Linked DNA regions of Coturnix japonica. Each later gene encodes a partner of the first gene's protein in a complex. Links are inferred from orthologs where the notes say so. Each region holds a gene or a part of one and is shown on either strand. Other genes may lie near its edges. The genes, in order: SLC3A1, SLC7A9 and SLC7A13.

Region 1 (3,750 bases):
CAAGGGTTGAGTTCCTTTGATTAGCATTAGATGCTGGTAAATTGAAAATGAAATGGTGTCCAAGGCAACACTACGTGAACATGATTCAGCCTGCAGCTCCGTGTGTGGTAAGGCAAGAGGTCGAGAGGGAATGTCCTCAAGTTGCTCCAGGGGAGGTTGAGATCGGATATGAGGAAAAACTTATCTAAAAGAGTGGTCAGGACTGGCACCGGCTGCCCAGGGAGGGGGTGGAGCCACTGACCCTGGAGGTGTTCAAGATACCTGTAGGTGTGATAGTAGGGGACGTGATTTGGTGGGGAAGTATTGATGATGGGAGATTTTAGATGCCTTTACCAACCTTAGTGATTCAGAGATTCTCAGTTATGTGGCTATGTTGTAGTGTACGAGGGAGCTACTTGTGCCTGTGCAGAGCTGGTCATGCCTGGCCTGGCAGAGCTCTTGGGTGCAGCAACTTGTAAGGTGCTGCTTTTTGAAGTGTGTGTGCCTTATGGGTGCTGTTGCTGCTGAGGTGCTCACCCTGGGCTGTGAGAAACCAAGCTCATCAAGCTTTGGATTTTTACTTCCTATTGAATTTGTGCTGTTGGAGCTGCCCACGCCTTGTTCTCTGTCAGTCTTTGCATTATTCATTAATGCTGAGATTGCGTTCAGGAAGAGAGACCATGATCAGTTTACGAAGTTGCACATTGTGGAAGAGAAATTTATGATGTTGAAGAGAGCAGCAGTAAATGTAGCTTTGCAGTTAGTCCCAGGAACAGGCCTGCCACTGTGGGAAACTGCTTTCTTGCAGCGTTATCTCACTGAAGATGCCTGTTATGCAGAAGAGCCGGAGCACTTTGCCCTTTCTGTCTCCTGTGAACTTTGACCAGTTGGTCAAGATTGTTTATAAAGCCAGATGCTAATTGCGCTGCTTCTCATTCCACTGAACAAAGGTATGCTGGCTCCCTGTACTGAGTGTCCCTAGGAGGAGAGGCAAAAAGTGAAACAGTCGACAAGGAGGCGAAGAGCTTACCGATGGAGCTGAGTGAGAAGGGAGGTGTGGAGAACAACGGGTTTGTTCAAAATGAGGCTTTTGATGACAGGGAGACCGACACCAGCAGCCAAGATGAAATACCAAAAACGTGTGCCGTTGATGTGAGCCCAGCAGCCGTGGCAGAGCAAGCATTGCAGCCCTATGCAGGAATGCCGAAGGAGGTCCTGCTGAAGTTCTCCAGCCAAGCCCGGTACAGGGTCACCAGGGAGATTCTCTTCTGGCTCATCATCGCTGCTGCTGTCCTGCTCGTGTCTGCCACGATTGCCATCATTGCTTTGTCCCCAAAGTGCCTCGATTGGTGGCAAGATGGTCCTATTTACCAGGTCTACCCTCGTTCTTTTAGGGACAGCAACATGGATGGGAATGGTGATCTGAAAGGTATGTAACAAAGCGGGGCAGCTGACAAAGTGGGGGTGAAGCAAAGTGTTTCTTCTTGTTTTCTTTGTGATCTGGGTGTTTCTGAGATCTTACTAAGATCATGTACCTGATACTGATCAGGTATTGGTTAGCTGTGCTTCTAAACGGGATGTCTGAGCCCAATAGCGTATGAAAAATTTCTAGACAAAAAGCAGCAGCTGTAGCAAATTGTAGGAGACTTTTCCTAACAGAAGACAAACCTGAGGTCTTTGCATTGTGACTGTACTTCCTTTGGGTGGTCAGAGGGTCCATTGACTTTGAAACCAGAAAGTAACGATGGTGCTGTATTTTAATAAAAATACAGGTGTTTGTTTTCAGAAGTGAATGTTAAATGTATTGCATGAAATGGCGAGTATTATTCTGCAGAATAGAAGTTGTCTTCTGTCAGTCTTTTAAATGATTATTATTTTCCTTTTTCCCTGTAGTGGTGACTTTGAATGGTTTCCATTCTGTGGCCTCATGTTGCTCGTGAAGAAATGGCAGGGTTGCCCCGCTATCTGAGATAGGTGAAAACTGGGAGTGGTTACATAGCAAAGAGATCTGTGTTCTGTCTTTGAAAGCCCACATCAAACTTAATGTGACCAAACACGTTTGTCTGTTGTAATCAGATATTGCCCTTTTTCTTTTAATAGGAATCCAAGAAAAGCTGGACCACATCACACACTTAAATATAAAAACCATCTGGATCACATCTTTCTACAAGTCCCCCTTAAAAGATTCTGGCTATGGAGCTGAAGACTTCTATGATATTGATCCCATGTTTGGATCAATGCGTGATTTTGAGGATCTTCTTGCATCCATACACGATCGAGGTAAGCTCTGATCAAAACAGCCCTATTACAAAGATGTTTGCTGTTGTGGTACAGGTGTGCCTTGTAGTTTCTGGAGAAAGCAGAAAGAGAATTATAAGATTAAGGGGGAGCATAGACTTCCTTCCTGTGGTTGTGTCTTTGGTTGGTAGCACATGTGCCTTAAGCCAAATCCTTGCCCAAATGGTTCCCCTTATGCCTGTAAGATGTGATCCTTATCACAAAAGGCTTGATTTAAAGTATGTGCGTGTTTTAGGGTTGAAGGTAATAATGGATTTCATACCAAACCACACCAGTGACAAACACCAATGGTTTCAGCTTAGTCGCAATCGCACTGGGAAGTACACGGATTACTACATCTGGCAGGACTGCGAGCAGGCAGGGGCAGCCATCACTGCTCCCAACAACTGGGTGAGTGTGGGCAGGGATGGGCTTGTAAATCCCTTGTAAATCACCTGTAATTCACATGCTGGATTGTGGGTTGCCGGGTAACAACAGCACCTGGAACACAACTGTCCTGTGGATGTGGGGCCATGGCCTCCAGCACTGGGAGCAGGGGTTGGGTGCTGCAATGTAAGGAAGACATATCAGAGAACATCCAAGGGAGGGCTGTGAAGATGGTCAAAGTCTGCAGGGCAAAGTGTGTGAGGAGCAGCTGAGGTCCTAATTCTAAAAGAAAATGGTCTTGGAAAACTGTTTTCCATTGTATTGTAATTGGCAGCAAAAGTCTGCTTAGAAGAATGAAACAGTATTGAACATGAAATACGTGTGGCAAAAGCGTGACTGAAAGGAGGAGCAGCTAACAGGAGTAGGAAATGAGAAACAAAACATTAAAACCAACCCAATTTGTTGCACTGATGAGGCATTTTGTGCCTTGTTATATGCTTGTAATGCCTCACAAATTATACACGTAGCTAAACTATAAGTTCTGATTGCTTTTCTTCCCCTTTACTTGAGCAGGTGAGTGTCTATGGGAATTCCAGCTGGCAGTACGACGATGTGAGGAAACAGTGCTATTTTCATCAGTTTGGGAAAGAACAGCCGGACTTAAATTTCCGCAACCCTGCTGTTCAACAGGAAATCCATGTAAGTGTCTGATCTGCTGCAGCACCAATAGCACAAATTTACAGCTTAATTGAAAGTTAACTTTAAGATTACAGTACATTTAAATGGTTGAAACAGAATAGTGTGCAGACAAAGGTTAAAATGTTTGTAAGCAAAACTCAAGGTTCGTCTTATGATGGTTCCGTGACGGAGGACAACGCCTGATGGAAGGACTGATGTGGTGCTGCAGAGCAGCTGAATGCCCAAGCTGAGGGAAGCTTTAATCTCTGTTGATACAAGGAGCTGTTTATTAGCCAGCCCTATGGGGGTAACAGTTTGTTTTAGCAGAGGTGTTTGCGTGTTCATGGCAGGGAGGCAATGCTGATCTGAAATGCAAGGAATCCCATTGCTTGTAGATAAGGAAGAATTCGTGAGTTTTGCTACTGAAGC
Region 2 (3,750 bases), on another chromosome or scaffold:
CCAATAATTGTACCAACGATCATACAGATTCCACTAATCAGGCCCACCTTGAAATAAAAGGAGACATTTTGGTGAAGTAATTTCTAGTAACTACTTTTCAGTTTAATACGATACTAACTGACGTCAGTGATTTGCTGTAGCTTTTGACATGAAGTTTCAACTAATTAGTAAACTGTGGATTTTTTTTTCTTCCAAATACGTACATGGCCTGTGGCATGCCAGCTTGCATGTTTGTTTCCATAACCCATCCTTTGAATTATGTGGGTCTCAATATTAACGTTGTACGTGTGAGCAATTCTCTTTATTTAACTTAAGCGTCACATTTTGGTGAACACTTGAATTCTGAAGTTTTGTAGCTTCTAAGATGTGCCTTCTCGGAGGGATTCTACCCTTTTTCTTTAAGCAGTTGCTCTGCTCTCCTTGCTCCAGAAATGATTTTAATATTGATAAGTAATGAAAAGATTACATTCTTCAGATTTTGTAGCAATTGCCACATTAGATGACTCTAAAACTTGAGGCTCAAAGGTCATTGGCATGGGCATCTTAAATGTTCCTTATTAAGTTATAGCTAGCCTAATAACTTCGGTATTTTGCCAGTCCAGGTTCTTAGCACCTAAATGTATCTATGCAGGGTATCATTTTCCAGGTTGCTTAAACTGAAAGATAAATTACACTTCGCCGTGGGAGTCTTGTCAGAGGTAAATGAAGTGGCATATCCTTTCTGTAAAAGTATCAGTCATTTTCCGGAGAAGAAAAATTACTGTTTGTTTTTCTATACATTTAGCTGTTTTATGGACATAAACACTAACAGATTTGCAGTAGTGAGCTGAACCAACCCTGTTCAGCCTCTGAGAAGCTGGCGTAGGAAGAATTAGTGAAGTCCATAATGTTATGCTGAGCTGAGCAACTCTGAAGTGTAAAATAGTGAGAAGTAATTTAAAGACTTGAAAATTATATATACTTTCTTTTGTGTTTATATCAGAGCTATATACATAGCAGTTAATAAGTTCATAAAATGTAATTCAGCCACACCATGAAGATACTGCACATAAGAGCAAATTCAACTTTTATATGATGATACATCATCACATGTACATTCTTAATGCCTCCCTGTGCCGGCCCTTCACATGCGCATGTTAAGGGAGTGGCTGTAGGCATTTACCTGTTTTTTTAGGTTTGTTGCTTGGGGTTCCTGACTCTGAATGGATTGTCCATCCTCCTTTCTGTTGTCCTGGTCTTTTCTTTTCCTCAAGCTTCCTTCACCCATTTGATTTACTTGTTGAAATAATAAATAAATAAAGGGGAAAAAAATAAATAAATAAAGGGGAAAAAAAACAGTTAAAAATCTTTATTAAATTAGGCTTTTTCCTGCTTTCTTGGAGACACAAGCATTTTTGACCAGGTGTCCTTTCCTGTAAGTGTCTAAATAGCAGCTCTTTGTTTCAGAAAGTGTTGCTGTTCTTCCCTGTGTTGAACTGGGGTAAATGTCTTCTTGTGAACACTATATTCTGTTCAGGATAAGACTGTGAACAATTTGACTTCAAAAATGTTAATTTTAGATTTCTGAATGTAGTATTTTCTTGAAAGTTTTGTTTGTTTCACAAAGTGTTGGAATAAAATCCAGCCTGAAGTAGTGATGGAAGTGGAGGTTAAAACAGATTAGTCCTGATTCCCACAGTTAATGCAGTCAATCCCCTCTCTCCTTAGACTCTCCATCTGTAACTGTTAGAATCTGAACATTGATGATTGTTTTGCAGCTAAACAGACAATGCAGGCGTGCTTCGTATTTGGGCAATTCAGCTAGTATCCAGCAATTCTTGGCATTTTTTTTTTTAGCCTTTTAAATTGATGGAATGTCCATCTCAGTACTGCTGGTCTTCAGAAATGTTTCTGCTATATAGAGACCTGGTTTATGATTTTAAGATTTTAAAAATCAACGTATGGTCCAACTTAAGATTCAAGAAATAATGGAAAATTGCCCATGTAAGGAATGCAGGGCTTGGGTCACTGAATTCTATTACAGCTTTGTGCCCAACTTCTCTCTTTCAAGTTTTTTGTCTAGAGTATGTTGTTATCTTCTAGTAAAACATGCTGTCACTTACCTTATTTGTATTTCTTTGATGTAATTCAGGCTCCAGGGATCTCTTATAGTGTTTCTCTTTCCTCCCGTTAGATTTACCAGCCAGTTAGAGAGCAACACAGTTCCATGTCCGAAACAAGAATACGCAGAAGCAACAGCAGCTTAAGTACAGAGGTTATAAAAGGTAATCATTAAACCTGTTCTCAGCCAAGAAGTTTTGAGATGGGAACCACAGGTAAACCAATAGTCCAATTAGTTTATCTTTAAAACAAAAAGTTTTTTTTTCCCATTTGTTCAGAATGTTTGTCTATTACCTAACTATTTTATTATATAGTGAGAGGAAGTCGTAATTTAAGTGCATTTTAATTTCATGTCAAGTTGTTTGCGGTTCAGAAACTGTGTAAAGATAAACTTGAAGTAATTGTAGTGGTGTGGATATGTTAAAAGTATCTGTTTAGATGTAAAGTGCATCCCATAAAGGCAGCTCGTTTCATCTCGAGGAGATGGAGAAGTGTGAGCAGAAATCTCTCGTTTGGTTTTTCATTAACCTGAAGACAGCTGAGTGGGCAGCTTGTGTTTCTTTCATCTGCGGTTTCAATTTTTCATTGGAAGGAAACTCTGGAGATAGAGTCCAACCCATCTGCTAAAGCCAGTTCCCCAGGGCAGGTCACACAGGAAAGAATCCTAGTGCACTTTTTAGTATCTTCAGAGGAGATTCTACAACCTCTCTGGGCAGCCTCTTCCAGTACTGTGTAACCCTCATGGTGAAGAGGTTTATCTTCATGTTTGTATGGAACTGTGTTCCAGTTTGTTCCTATTGCCACTTGTCTTGCTGCTAGGCACTGCTAAAAAGAACCTGGGCCCCATCCACTTGACTACTGTCTTCTAAATATTTATAAGCATTAAGAAGATCATCTCTCAATGTCCTCCATGCTGAATGGGCTCAGGTCTTTCAGCCTTCCCTCATAAGGGAGTTACTTCAGGCCCCAGTCATTTTTTGTGACTTTTTTGACTCCCTAGTATTTCCCTGCCTTTCTTAAATAGAGGAGCCCAGAACTGGACACAGTACCCCAGATGTGGCCTCACCAGAGCAGAGATGAAGGTGACCTCCATCACTTTGCTAGCCATTCTCTTTTGAATGTATTCGAGGATCCCATTGGCAGCCTTAGCCATGAGGGCACACTGCTGGGTCCTAGCCAATCTGTTGTGCACCAAGGGTACTCAGGCCCTTATCTGCAGAGTTCCTCTCCAACAGTTCAGCTCCTAAACTGTACTGTTGTGTGTGGTTATTCCTCTCTAGGTGTAGGATGCTGCACTTACCTTGATGAGCCTCAGCGAGTTCCTCTGCCCAGCTGCCCAGCCTGTCCAGGTTGTGCTGAATGGAAGCAGAGCCTTCTGGCATGTCAGCCACTCCTCATGGCTTCATATTATCAGCAAACTTACTTGGGGTGTACTCTGTCCCTTCATCTAGTTCACTGATGAGGATGAGATTGCAAAACAATATCAGTACTGAAATCAAAGCTATATTTTGCAGGTAACAATTTTACTGTCTCCTCTTTATTTTGGTAAGAATTAAAAGCAGCATTAAACTTCAAGAAAGATTTTTTTTTTTTCCTTGTAACCAACTTGTTTAGAAATTTCCATCTGAACAGCAGAGTTGCATGCTATTT
Region 3 (3,650 bases), on another chromosome or scaffold:
TGACTACCACAAAAGCTCCTGGGTGAAGCCACAGTGGCCAACAGGAAGCAATGGACTGAGCACCCTGTAAGCATTACAGCTGCATCTCGGCATCATGAATAACAAATGTAGACATGTGAGCAGGGCAGTCTGAGTAAAGAAAATAATGGAGGCATGAATCTGCCTGGCCACAGAGGTGACATGGCCTGCTGTAAGAAGAAACACAATTGTATGTATGCTAAAAGACAGGTCATAAAGCATGTTATTAATCTGATTTTGCTTTGGGTAGAGCTAGGAAATGTGAAAGATTATTGCTGGACAAATGATTTTCCATATTTCTCAGAAATTGGTGATGGCCTGCATTATATTGAGGACTGATTCTTAGCAGGCCTTTAACTGAGTGTCGTGAGGAATATAGGTCTTGCAGTGATTTGCACTGCATAAAACTCCTCAGATTAGGGGAAAAGATAACAATGTAGTGAGCAATCAAGAACTGCCACAGTGTATAGCAGTGTCTGAAATGAGAGATATAATTTTAAGGCCATCTCCTCAGCTGACGTAAATAAGCACAGCTCCAGCATCATTTCAGGAACTGCTTGTGCCAGCCAAGCACCTGCTCGCTGATATTCTGTTATCTACTGCTGCTTTCCTGACAGAATGGATCTGTAAATGTGTCTCTCCCAGCAGATAGCCTGATCATGGGCAGACAACACTATGGGGCTGCTGAGTGACAGCTACACCATCATTTATGTTATTGAGCTGTTTTCACAGAGGAAAAAGAAAAAATAATAATAATAATTTTATAAAAAAAATTGATTTTTTTTTTGTCACTCCTGGACAAGGCAAGGTCTGACAGTTCAGTCTCATTAGGCTGGGATCTTAAAAGGTGCTGCTTGGACAATCAAAGAGAAATACAGCTCCTCTTGGGCCTTTTTATGCACAGCTTATTGGCGTGGCATCTGAGAAAAGCTTTACAGAAACTGGACTTTTGTACAGGGTCTTCCAAGAAATGAAAATACTTATCATGAATAACCCGTCTTCAGCCCCAAATGGCTATATTTTCCTATTGCCTTTTTTATATTATTTATTATTACATGTAACTTGAAAATATTATTTATTTCCATCCTAAACAGTAAGGACTTTAGCCTTAGACACTGTGACACAGGAAAGAAAGGAGGAGAGGGGATTAAAACAACTGGAAAACTAAATCCCTACCTATATCAAACAAGGGCACAATCATCATTTGGTTTCCATGTTTTAATGCACTTCTGATTTCTTTTTTAACTGTACAGGTATAAGCCAAATTTTGACACTTACTATATACTCTGTATTCAGTCCAACCTATATCATGCAGAAAATTTAAACCACAAATCTCGTTTAAAACTTAGACTAAAACTCAGACTTCCCAATTGTGGAGTTAAGTGAGCACAAGTAATCCAGTGCATTGACATCAAACAGGTATGCTAACAGATCTCACCTTTCTCACAAAAATATCAAACTCATACCTGAGGAGACAATTTCCTTTGGTGTGAGGACAGTCAGATATGAGATGTTTACCAGTAAGTAAAACACAATTACTGCGGGAACAGCTGTCATCACAGTTAAAGGGATGTTTCTGCTAGGGTTTTTCATCTCCTCTGAAAAACACAATTAATTAAATAATAACAATAAAGCAAGCAGTTCAACTTCTGTAAGCGTGGTTTCAGTGGTGAATCTCCACAGAGGTTGACATGACTGACACAGAAATCTCACCCCAACCCCTAATCATTGTTCCTAAACTATGCTGCTTGTGTGTTCCTGCAGTATTTGTTGAGTAGTTTATCATCAGAGTCCTAAATCAAGTATTTAGAACTTTTTTTTTTTTTTTTTCTCCTTTGTCTTTTTTTTAGTTATCAGGTGTCTTGGGAAAAGAGAGACCTGACAGACTGATAAAAATATGACAAAGTACTAATTGTCTCTGATGTGATTAAACAAATATATGGCTGTACATTAGAATATTAACTTGGTAATGCATTTCCAAATAGACATACTTTTGAATCTAAATATTGAATGTGAGGCTGTAAAGTCAGTTTATTTATTCTTTCATCACTTTGTAAGCCCTGATTCAAAATTTTCATACAAATCATAGAATGGTTTGGATTGGAAGGGACCTTTAAGATCATGTAGTTCCAACCCCCTGCTATGGGCAGGGACACTTCCCATTAGATCAAGTTGCCCAAAGCCCCATCCAGCCTGTTCTTGACCGCCTCCAGAGAGGGGCATCCACAACAACCTCGCTGGACAACCTCTTCCAGTGTCGTTACCCTCACAGTAAAGAATTCCTTCCTAATATCTAGTTTAAATCCACTGTCTTCCAGTTTATACTCTCTCGGTTTGTCCTCATAGGGAAGTGCTCCAGCCCTCCAATCATCATACTGAGTGTATTTTCCTGTTTCCACCCAAAACATTTCTCTTTGTTCTTACATCAGAAGGTACAGAAGATATAATGGAAGAGTATTGACAGAGGAGCAGTAATGGAGTGGCTTTCAAAAAGGGCAGTTCCCAGCTGGATTCTGCCATTATCAGTTCCATGACAAAACTGGTGGAGGAAAAGTGTTTAGTGCTAAACCCGATATCTTAGCTTAAAACTACTCAGTCTGTATCAGTATTGATATAGGCTGACGGGGGAGGGTGAATCATTTTTCTCCCCAAATACTATCTCTGCCTCCAACATCAGCTTTGAGCCTGCCCTATTCTGGGGTGCAGTGCACAGACTGCAGAGAGACAGAATGAGCACAACAGAGAAATGCAGATACAGTTTACTAGAGAATTGGGGATTTATTTAAAATGGAAGAAATACACTTCATAATTTTGAGCACAAAAGGAGGCAATCACCAAAATAGCTGATTTAAATTTGTCTTTGCATTTGTTTCATCGCTAGCTACAGTCCCAACATCCAGCTGGCATGGGATCCTTTAGCTAAGGCTCACAGGAATGAAAGTTATTGTTGAAGAACTGGAAACTCAGTTCAGGAGAGGTCTATAGCATAGAAGCATATAGCATCTGTCTGAACAGCTGTGTTACCCAGTGGATTGCATGTATCCCTTGTGTATTTCAATTTTTACTTGTGGTAACTGATCAGCAAATAGTACTTTGTGAACAATTTTGTATTTCCTTGGGTTTACAAATCTGAATTCTTGCCTTTAAGAAAACCCTAAGCTTTCAAAACCTATATTTTCTGCTTTTTACCACCTTTTTAATAAGAGCATATTCTAAATGCAGAATTAATGGGATTTTAATAGTAACTATCAGGTTTTTAAATATTAACCCAATTTTCACACTGTTCTCACCACTGAACTTTGTGTTACACGTTTCACACATCGAGTTTATTTAACGTTTAATGTTTCTACATGTGGTAGAGGTCAGCAGATGAGTAAGATTAAACATATAACAGCATTATCCATTTGCTTACAACTTAACTCATAAATCTAATGATATTATAAAACACTGTTCACTCAACTTGTTGCACAGTATGTAACTGTGAGCATTATCTCCTTGTAGTTTCCATGAAAAACTGCTCTTTATTACCTATCACTAGATATAGAACAGGACAAGGAAATGAACACGCCACAAGATTTTGCATGTTTAAAATTGGATATAAGTTTTATCAGAAGAAATATACCACTTCCCTT

The links.
Region 2: the proteins of SLC3A1 (region 1) and SLC7A9 are in contact, whole or in part, in a cryo-EM structure (PDB 6LID), measured with the Homo sapiens proteins. The link is inferred for Coturnix japonica from reciprocal best matches to the Homo sapiens genes SLC3A1 and SLC7A9. Residues at the interface, in NP_000332.2 of Homo sapiens: Pro64, Tyr65, Ala66, Gly67, Met68, Pro69, Lys70, Leu73, Phe74, Phe76, Ser77, Tyr82, Pro85, Arg86, Phe90, Thr93, Val97, Leu100, Ile101, Ala103, Thr104, Ile107, Ile108, Ser111, Cys114, His201, Asp202, Thr373, Glu374, Pro375; in NP_001119807.1 of Homo sapiens: Cys137, Phe140, Tyr141, Val142, Gly143, Cys144, Pro147, Ile149, Val150, Cys153, Leu154, Ala156, Ala157, Leu160, Phe161, Thr164, Leu168, Thr279, Thr281, Asp295, Arg296, Tyr299, Tyr343, Val346, Arg347, Lys467, Thr470, Met471, His472, Gln474.
Region 3: the proteins of SLC3A1 (region 1) and SLC7A13 are in contact, whole or in part, in a cryo-EM structure (PDB 8WK6), measured with the Homo sapiens proteins. The link is inferred for Coturnix japonica from reciprocal best matches to the Homo sapiens genes SLC3A1 and SLC7A13. Residues at the interface, in NP_000332.2 of Homo sapiens: Pro64, Tyr65, Ala66, Gly67, Met68, Pro69, Lys70, Leu73, Phe76, Ser77, Arg81, Tyr82, Pro85, Arg86, Leu89, Phe90, Thr93, Ser96, Val97, Leu100, Ile101, Thr104, Ile107, Ile108, Ser111, Cys114, Leu115, Glu194, Asn195, Asp202; in NP_620172.2 of Homo sapiens: Ile120, Phe123, Phe124, Pro125, Ser126, Cys127, Leu132, Pro133, Cys136, Leu137, Leu139, Ala140, Met141, Trp143, Ile147, Arg151, Lys187, Thr265, Arg267, Asp281, Arg282, Glu450, Cys454, Tyr455, Gln457, Leu458, Leu459, Phe460, Asn461, Ile462.

What each region holds. Positions count from the first base shown.
Region 1 is NC_029518.1:22,701,483-22,705,232, forward strand, and holds the start of SLC3A1 (neutral and basic amino acid transport protein rBAT), read left to right. Parts: upstream 1-906; 5' UTR 907-1,011; coding exon 1,012-1,408; intron 1,409-2,079; coding exon 2,080-2,259; intron 2,260-2,512; coding exon 2,513-2,667; intron 2,668-3,216; coding exon 3,217-3,342; intron 3,343-3,750. UniProt on the Homo sapiens protein: Acts as a chaperone that facilitates biogenesis and trafficking of functional transporter heteromers to the plasma membrane.
Region 2 is NC_029526.1:8,598,833-8,602,582, forward strand, and holds the start of SLC7A9 (B(0,+)-type amino acid transporter 1), read right to left. Parts: upstream 2,191-3,750; 5' UTR 2,103-2,190; intron 1,276-2,102; 5' UTR 1,268-1,275; coding exon 1,163-1,267; intron 48-1,162; coding exon 1-47. UniProt on the Homo sapiens protein: Associates with SLC3A1 to form a functional transporter complex that mediates the electrogenic exchange between cationic amino acids and neutral amino acids, with a stoichiometry of 1:1.
Region 3 is NC_029517.1:111,076,011-111,079,660, forward strand, and holds part of SLC7A13 (solute carrier family 7 member 13), read right to left. Parts: intron 1,617-3,650; coding exon 1,485-1,616; intron 1-1,484. UniProt on the Homo sapiens protein: Associates with SLC3A1/rBAT to form a functional heterodimeric complex that transports anionic and neutral amino acids across the apical plasma membrane of renal epithelium.